2 linked regions of the Cricetulus griseus genome follow. Each later gene encodes a partner of the first gene's protein in a complex. Links are inferred from orthologs where the notes say so. Each region holds a gene or a part of one and is shown on either strand. Other genes may lie near its edges. The genes, in order: Acss1 and Sirt3.

Region 1 (4,245 bases):
TTTAGTTCACATATAAGGAAACGTGGGAAGTGCAGCACAGTATGAACTGAGAACTCAATGTAGCTCAAAAGGCACAGCTGAAACCACCAAACTATGCTGAACCAAGCACCTGCAGCTGGAAGATGCCCAGCCAACAGGTTTCTAAATCTAAGGGTCTAGAGAGGGCCACAGAATTTGCATTGCTAAAAGCTCCCCAAGAAGGCTGCTGGTCCAAGACCATGCTTTGAGAAGCATTAGTCTGGATATCCCTGAAAGGCCAATATCGTCACTCACACTTTTTGGAACAAGCTGGCATTGTCACACAAGACAAACAAATCAGACCCAAACAGTTCAACCACTTCCCAGCTTTCTAGGTGGCTCCCAGGGCAGCTGCAGTCTGTCCCCTTTTCACACTATGACCTCTGGGGTTTGCAGATGCTGGTAAAGGACAAAGATGCTGCTGATAGATTGACAGCCAGGCATTCGGAGAAGCTGCTTTTCCTACAGGTCAGCTTGCTCCCGGCTCCCACTCTAAAGGTGGAAGAACAGAGGCCAAAGAATTCCATGAAGACCACACCCAAGCCTCACCATAAGGTCAATACCATTCCTTATCAGCTGTAAGCTTGGGTGTCCCCTTGGCTTTGGCCTCTTAAGCCCAGGGGGATTTCCAAAGAAGCCACACACTTTGTGCCCTCTTCCTTCTGCAAACTGCTTTACTCACTTCAAAGGCACATTCCATCAATTCTACAGTCCCAGGAACTTCTTCCCCCAAGTTCAAGATTTTGCTGACTCAAATCTAAAGGCAACACTTATCTAGTAAGAGACTCATTTAGATTAAACTTGCCAAGTAATATACAAAATGGGAAAAATATGACTGGTCCAAAGTTTCTTTAAGGTGTTGTGCTTTAAAAAAAAAAAAAAACAGACACCACCTATAATTTCTGGGTATAGTAATTCAAAATTGATAATGGCTTATTATTGATTACCAATAAGTCTGGACAAGGTTCTGCATCTCCCAGCACAGCCAAGTATTACTTCCCTAACTACAAATGGGGAAGCTGAGATGCACCAAAGTTAATGCAATGGATGCAGCAGACACCAGATCCCATCCTAACCTGTGGTCCTTGAACAAAGCATTGCCATACCAGGGTGGCATTCAGTTTTTCTTTCTTTCTTCCTTCCTTTCTTTCTTTCTTTCTTCCTTTCTTTCTTTTTGCAGATTTTTTATTTGAATTAGAAACAAGATTTTTTACATGACAATCCCAGTTCCCTCACCCTCCCGTCCTCCCCTACCACCACCACCACCCCAATAAAACCCTACCTATCACATATCCTTTCTGCTTCCCCTGGATGGTGAGGCCTCCCATAGGGTGTCATCAGAGTCTATCATATCCTTTGGGATAGGGCCTACGCCCACCCCCGTGTGTCTTGGCTGAGGGAGTATCCCTCTAGGTGGAATGGGCTCCCAAAGTCCACACCTATGCTAGGGATAAGTACTGAACTACTGCAAGAGGTCCGGTAGATTTCCGAGGTTTCCTCACTGAAACCCATGTTCCTGGGGTCTGGATCAGTCCCACGCTGGTATCCCAGCTATCAGTCTGGGGAGCAAGAGCTCCCCATGCAGTTTCTTTCTTATGCATCTCTGACCTCACTCCAACCCCACTGGAAGGCAGAAGTCCTTGAACCCCTGCTGTGCACCAGAGGCTCAGCCTGTCAGTCCAGCCCTTCCTTCAGTCCCTGGGACTTCTCAGTGCTTCCAACCCCAGCAGCATGGAATTCAGGCTCATTGGAAAACAGTTAGTGACTGATGTGTCCCTTTTGGAGAACGAGGAGGCTTCATGACCCAAGCTGGCCTTGAGCTCAGCTCAGCTCCTCCTGACTCAGCCTCCAGAGTGCTGGGGTTGTCTGCCTTTAACACTGTAGACGTTTGTCTTTGGGGTGCAGTTCTGAGACCCAGAACTTCCTGCCCACACGCCCCTGAGGGAGGAGATAACCAGTTCCCTCCCAGCCGCAGGCGCGTTCTTCCTTCTGCACCCACCAGGGCTCTGTTTACACTGCAGGGTTTGTCCCCTGGGGAGCTGCTGCTAACGCTAGCTAGCACCGTAGCTGATGGTAACAACCTACACACTGCGTTTATCCCGCTGACCTGGGGGGCCCTGGGCAGAAAAGGTCTGGGTTCTTGGAGCATGCGCTCTCTCCACCTAGGCCTGTCTGGGGTCGTAAGCTGTATGCCCATCGTTCTAGGGAACCCTGAGATTAAAGTCTGAAGAAAGTCCCACCCAGAATCTGCGCTAGGATAGGCCATTCTGATCTCAAACGGGCTACCTTAAGTTTTCAGCTTGAGCCAGCGCTGCACGTTTGGGCGCGTAGTTGGTGCCCTGCTGGCTGCAGTCTCTGGACCGGGTGGGATGCAGGTCAGGGTGACGTGGCACAAGAATTAGAGTGGGTGGTGAAGCATACTGGGGACAGGGGCCAAGGCCTGGGCACAGCTGCTACTGACAGGGGCCTCCCGAGTCTCGGCGGGACGTAGCTGGTCCCCAGCAACCCACTCACCAGACACATTCAACTGGCCTCCCAGGAACCAGCCGATCTTGCCCGTCCTAAAGTCGCAGTCCCAGACAGTGTGGTAGGGGGTGTCCCAAACTAGTGTGTCACGGGCCAGCGGCCCCCAGAAGGCGGCTGGCTCTTGGGCCGCTTGAGCGCTCAACGCAGGGTATGAGCCTGGCTGCGCTGCGAGGGAAACGCTGCCTAGGAGCCGAGTGGCGGTCGATCGGGACACGCTCAGCAACCACCCCGATTGTCCGGAGCGCCGGTGCAGGCCACGCAGCAGTCGCCCCACACCGCTGCCCAGGCTGCGCGCCGCCATCTCGCCCGACGCCCCACGCGAGTGCGGGAGCCTGGGCGCCCCTAAGAGTCTCCACCGCCCCGCCCCGGCTCCGCCTCCGCGGCCACCACCCACTACTCCCTGCTTCGCAGAAGCGGCTTCCTTGAGCCTGCCCCGGCCCCACCTCTTCTCCCTGCCTGAAGAGGGGTGCGAGCAGTGGGGGGGGGGGGAGGGGGGCTGGGGATGGGAGTGGGGGCGGAGTTGCTGTGCGCCTAGTGTCAGGATAGCCCGCGCTTTTGACTTCAGGTTCCTGGGTTTCTGCGATCGCTTCTTCTTGCAAACCAGACAACTTTCTCTGCTTGCGACAGCAGCAGCAAATTATGTGGGCTGCCCAGGCTCCCGACCAGGGACGTGGGCAGCGCTCCGAGATAGGAAGGATTGGATCATGAGAGCGAAGAACACAGATGGTGGGGATGAGCGGTCAGTCGGTTCAGCATTCCAGAGACTGAAGTCAAATCTTTCCTCCCTAGGTGATCTCCTGAGAATGAACCCTTTTCCCAACGGTGCCGGCCTGTACCACCATGCCACTCACACATAACTGACACCAGGTGGACTAAAAGGCTGATTGATAAAAAGCCTGGGGGCCTTCAAGCTGAGAAGAAGATTCTACGAAGGCCGGAGTCTGGTGAAAGTTATGCATGTTACCCAGCTGCCGACCCTTGTCCTGGCAGGTATCGCTTCTTGCCCTGGAGACCTTCGCTGATTTGAGGTGGTGGGAAGCTACGGTGAAGAATAAAATCAATGTCCACAGCATGTCTGGCCTGTTTGACACTATGCATCATCAGCTCCGTCACGGAGATGCAGGTTCTGTTATTGAAGAATCAAGAATAGAAAGAAATGTGTCTCTGCCAACTACTTAAGAAGTGGTATCTGTCAAGAAATTTATCCTTTCATTTAGATTTTCCAATTTTGCGAAGCACAGGTCTTTGAAGTATGACCTAATGATTCTCTGGATTTCCTCAGTGTCTGTTGTTATGGCCTTCTTTGTGTTTCTGATTTTGTTAGTTTGGATATTCTCTCTCTGCCTTTTAGTTAGTTTGGATAAGGGTTGCTTGTCTTGCTGATTTTCTCAAAGAACTAAGAAGTGAATACATAATAAAAATAAACACTAAGGGTGGGGGATTTTCAAGAACTGGTTTGTTGAGTTCTTCAGGCTGGCAAACACTGCTTCCTGTTGGCTGTGCGAGCCGCAGATAGGTCATTCCGTTGGAGGGGATACTGTGGGTGAGCTGCTGAGGAGGGAGGGGTAGAAAGCAGTGCCAAAAGCTAAAGCAGGCACATGTCCTGCCTGCCCTCGGCCAAGCACTTGTCGTTCTTTTAGAAGTTAGGTAAGTCGGGCACAATGGAGTACCCCTGGGGTCCCAGCTATTCAGGAAGCTGAG
Region 2 (4,385 bases), on another chromosome or scaffold:
TAGAAAACAGATCTCCAGTTTCCTCATCCGTGGATGGGATGAAGGAGAGATGAAATAAGCCAATATACATATTTTTAGGACACTGATGTAGCACATTTCACACAAAGACTAAAGGCTACTATTTAATAGTGCAGATAAAGTGCTCTGGGGAATACAAAATGTTAGCCCACACAGGCAGTTAGATACTCAACACTGAAAACGTCTCTTGAAAACACTAATAGCAGAAAACTGCTGAATACCACCAAAACACACGAACGGAAAGGATCTTTGTGGAAAGGTGTTTCCTCAGGGAAAGCTCTAGATCAATGTCAGCAATCTGTAACTGTTCTGAAGTCCATCTCGTTTCCAATCAAACTCAAACACTAAGGTCTCTCCAGTGGCAAAAAGGCCAATGTGAAATACAACAGAAAGCAGGGACAATGGGGGCTGAATCAAAGGTTGTAGAATCATGAAGAATTTGCAGGCTGTAGACAATCACACCACGGCTTAGGACAAGTTACCAGGGTCTGTGGCAGACCCAGACGCGGTGGCACCCTAGCCTCAAAACTATTTGCTTGTTTGAATTAAGAGCTACCATCACAGGCCAGTCCGGGCCCCCCTTTAGTTAAGACAGTCTGTCATAGCCGGTAAGGCTGCAAAGCAGGGGGTTTAGATTCAGAACCCTGGTAGCAAGCAGCTCTGCTCCTTTGGCTGTAGCTCCTTTTCTTCTGATTCCCTGACCCTCGGGGCTGCTCAGAGCCTCCTGCTGCTCCCAGAGCCCTCTCCCTCCCGCCCACGCCGCAGAGCTCACTTCTTCGTGTACAACTCCTCCAAACGGTGCCAAACGGCGGCCTGGCCCGGCCCGGAGTTCTGGCTCTGCTGTAAGAAGGCCGGCACATCCTTCATGATTGCAGAGAGCTGGGAAGAGAAACACCAAGTACTCGGAACCGGCAGGGATGGCGGACGGAAATGCTCGCTCACTTCCGGCACCGCGTTGCGCGGGGCATGCCGGGAGCTTCCCAGTAGCCCCGCCGATCGCGGTCGTCAAGGTAACCGCGTTCTTGGCTTGGGCCAAACTTGTCCCGCGTGTTCGGCCCCGCCCTTGAGGCGTTAGCGTAGAGGTGCCCGGGGACAGCTGGTCCCCGAGTGGTCTCAAGTCTTCCGACGTGGGTCCTCTCAAACTGGGATGGCGTCCGGCGAGGACTAGGTGTGATCAAATTCCTGACCGCGGGAAGCGCTCAGAGAGCATTAGTTATCATCCACCCGGTCTAGAAGGTCGAGCGCAGGGTAAAACGATGACGCCTCCGAGTTTGGCTTCCCAACCAATAAGCCAGAGTCTCACAGAGCGGGAAGCTGGCCGCAGCGAGCATACACATCCCCTTCGGCACGGCGGGTTAACGTGCCGGGGGCGCCGGGCTGGGCACCATGTGAGGGGCGGAGCGTTGGTGCTGGGGGGCGGGACCTGGCCGAGGGGGCGGGGTAAGGGTATCGGGCGGGGCTTGGCGCAAGGGGGCGGGGATTCGGATGGCACTTGACCCTCTAGGTGCCGTCTCCCAGCAGAGCATCATGGCGCTGAGCGGTCGACTGGCTTTGGCCGCGCTCAGACTGTGGGGCCCGGGAGGTGAGCCACGGCGGGGAAGCCACGGGGTCCCTCAGATAGGCTGTCAGAGGTGTTTTAGGGGCGGGCAGCGGAAAGCAATTGCGGTAGTGAGAAGCTGGCAGGTGCGCTCTTCCACAAAGCTCGACTGACCGGCCTCATCAGTACCTCATCTCTTTAAAGATTTTTTTTTTTTTTTAATGTAGCTATTTCCATTGCAGCACAGTCTTTGAACTGTTCTGTGGAAGTTCCTTGTATGGATGTCTCATACTTTATGTCACCATTTCCTTATCGAAATAGTTTCTAATCTCGTATTATTGCAAATAACGACGTTTTGAATAACTTTGTTTGCACCCCATTTTGAGCATGAATTCCCAGTAGACCTACTGCCTTGTGTAAAGTTATGTGGTTTGTGTTGTTTTGAGACTGGGTCTCCTAGTCGATACCTGCCTCCAGCTGGCAGTATGAAGGAGGATGACCTTGAACTCCCGATCCTCCTCCTTCCAACTCCAGCTGCTGAGATTAGTCATGTGCCACCACATCCAGCTGTTATTTATGTTTTAATTGTCCCCCATGAAGGTTGTGAGTTTAAAGTTTCACTAACAGTCATACTGTCTGCAGAATAGTAATATGTTTTGTATAGTCCTGAGAATGGTCTATGATAGGCTTATTTTCAGTTTCAAATGAGTGAGTTTATTAAGAGAGAGAAATCATCACATTGGATATTTTTAAAAAATCCAGTAGAAATCTACTGAGGAAACCCCTTTAAGGTAGCCAGGTGGAGCTTCCAGTAAAGAGAGTCGAGGGCAGAAAAGAGTGCCCCGTTTGCTGAAGTTTTTCAGTAAAGGAACAAATAGCAACAGAGAGAGAGAGACAATATCAAGTTGGACACTTGCTGCATCCAACAAAAACCGACAGAGGAAGTTCAGATAGTCAACTGGAGTTCCCAGATGAGCTTTTCCTTGGTGTCTGAGATTCCTCTGTAGGCACTTTTACATGCTGGGATAAATGATAGGAACCTCCTGGAATTGGATCACCTTCTAGCTGTTCTCATGGGCAGTGCTTTTACTCTTGGGTTGTTTTGCTGTTCCTTTCCCTTCCTATCACACAGTTGGGGGAGCCAGCCCATCCAGACCTTGGACTTTGAGACCAACATGGGTCAGAAATGGGAGTTGTCAGCCCAGCCCCCAAAGCCAGCTTTTCAGTAGCTCAAACAACACACAGCAGTTTACCAATATGATGTACAAGTTTGTTTGTTTTTTCTTTTTTCTTTTTCTTTTTCTTTTCCTTTCCCTTTTTCTTTTGGTGCTGAGGATCAAACCTGATCAGGCCTTGTATTTCTTCTGCTCTTGATTTTAGATTTTGGGACTCGTAGGTGACTTCATCCTTTGTCTCTTTATAGTATCTCAGACATTACTTAATGCCAGCCTCTGGTGTCTTCATCCCAGGAGCTTTCTATACCATGTAAATGTACTTTAAGTTATACCTTAAATCTGTTTTAGATATTGTCAGTGACTTTGCAAACTTTTTTTTTTTTTTTTGTGGGCAGGTGACTAAGAAATGTCCCTTATGTGCCCTGACGTGGATATCTGGCAGTTGTCAGGCACTCAGCAATGGTCACAACTTTTCTCTTGACCCTTTTGTATTCTCATATGGTTTGTATTTAAGAGGAGTTCAGCAAATGTTAGGGCAAGAACCGTCCTAGGTGCTATGTGAGATTCGGGTATTTGATGGGAGGGATGTGGGTTTGGAGCCAGAGCTTTCTTTTCCTCATTCTTTATTGTTTTCACTGGGAGCTCCTTGGAGGGTTTCACTGCCTTGGCTCAGCAGAGGGACCTTGGTAAAGTGCGTTTATACCCTACTGTGATACAGAAGGACCTTCTTTAGAAGCCCATCTCTGCAGTGTGGGAGGAGCTGAGGTCTTTCTCCTGTTTGTTGTTGTTCTGTACACTCTGGTGAGAGGTTTATAAACATAGGTTCCTCCAAATCAGACTAAGAATTAGGAGTTGGGATGTAATTCTGGGAGAAAGCTCTTGCCTCTTCACCCCCAGAACAACAAAACACCACCAGCAACAGCAACAAAACAAAAGTCATCTTTGGCCTCCTTGCTTTGAGCTTGTCAGCTGAGGCTCAGGGTGCTGCAGGGTTACTCCTGGCTTGCTGTTGGCACACAAGTCCCTGGATAACTGAACACTGTGTGGATAGGGCAGCTGTGTACTGCAGGTGCACAGAGGAGAGAGCTGATAGACACCCTAATAGGAGAGGGAGCCAGCACTGTTGCCTTTAAGAGGAGGGTCAGTGATTATCCTTAGGGTTCAGCAAACATTTGACCTTGTGGGATTATGATACTCCCAAGAGGAGACCATGCTTCTCAGGCAGAATATGCTGGTTGGGACAGGGTTACTTAGAATCACTAGGATTTAGGACATGAAAACAAACAAGCCTTTTGTTTGGCTAAAATGAAGGATTAGAACTGTCACTAGAATGGCAATGGTGTGAGGAGAGCTTCTGGGAAAGCAGGTGGCATGATGAGAAGTCAGTTTTGTAAGGAGCAAAGGCAGTGACAAAGAGTAAACCCTGTATTGGTATCATCCTGCTAGAAGAGAGGCTCTGAACTGCCCTGTCTGAAGATGTACTGTTAGCATCTTTATTCTTGATTGTATTATGAGTAAAAGACATACTCTTAGTTGCCTGCTTTATGGCTGTATTAACTTTAGCCATTTATTTGGGGAGGGCCAATTTGATGTTTAATCTGTTCCACCATCTGATTGGAGAGGCCTCTATCCTGGTCATTAGGGCCATCTGATGG

Evidence for each region.
Region 2: the proteins of Acss1 (region 1) and Sirt3 are in contact, whole or in part, in a crystal structure (PDB 3GLT), measured with the Homo sapiens proteins. The link is inferred for Cricetulus griseus from reciprocal best matches to the Homo sapiens genes ACSS1 and SIRT3. Residues at the interface, in NP_115890.2 of Homo sapiens: Ser640, Gly641, Lys642, Val643, Met644, Arg645; in NP_036371.1 of Homo sapiens: Gly145, Ala146, Gly147, Thr150, Pro151, Asp156, Phe157, Arg158, Ser159, Glu177, Phe180, Gln228, Asn229, Ile230, His248, Ile291, Val292, Phe293, Phe294, Gly295, Glu296, Pro297, Leu298, Gly319, Thr320, Ser321, Leu322, Glu323, Val324, Glu325.

Annotation. Positions count from the first base shown.
Region 1 is NC_048599.1:29,026,754-29,030,998, reverse strand, and holds the start of Acss1 (acetyl-coenzyme A synthetase 2-like, mitochondrial), read right to left. Parts: upstream 2,846-4,245; coding exon 2,533-2,845; intron 1-2,532. UniProt on the Homo sapiens protein: Catalyzes the synthesis of acetyl-CoA from short-chain fatty acids. Acetate is the preferred substrate. Can also utilize propionate with a much lower affinity. Provides acetyl-CoA that is utilized mainly for oxidation under ketogenic conditions.
Region 2 is NC_048596.1:60,311,458-60,315,842, forward strand, and holds the start of Sirt3 (NAD-dependent protein deacetylase sirtuin-3, mitochondrial), read left to right. Parts: upstream 1-1,545; coding exon 1,546-1,600; intron 1,601-4,385. Other genes in the region: Psmd13 (26S proteasome non-ATPase regulatory subunit 13), read right to left, coding at 791-885.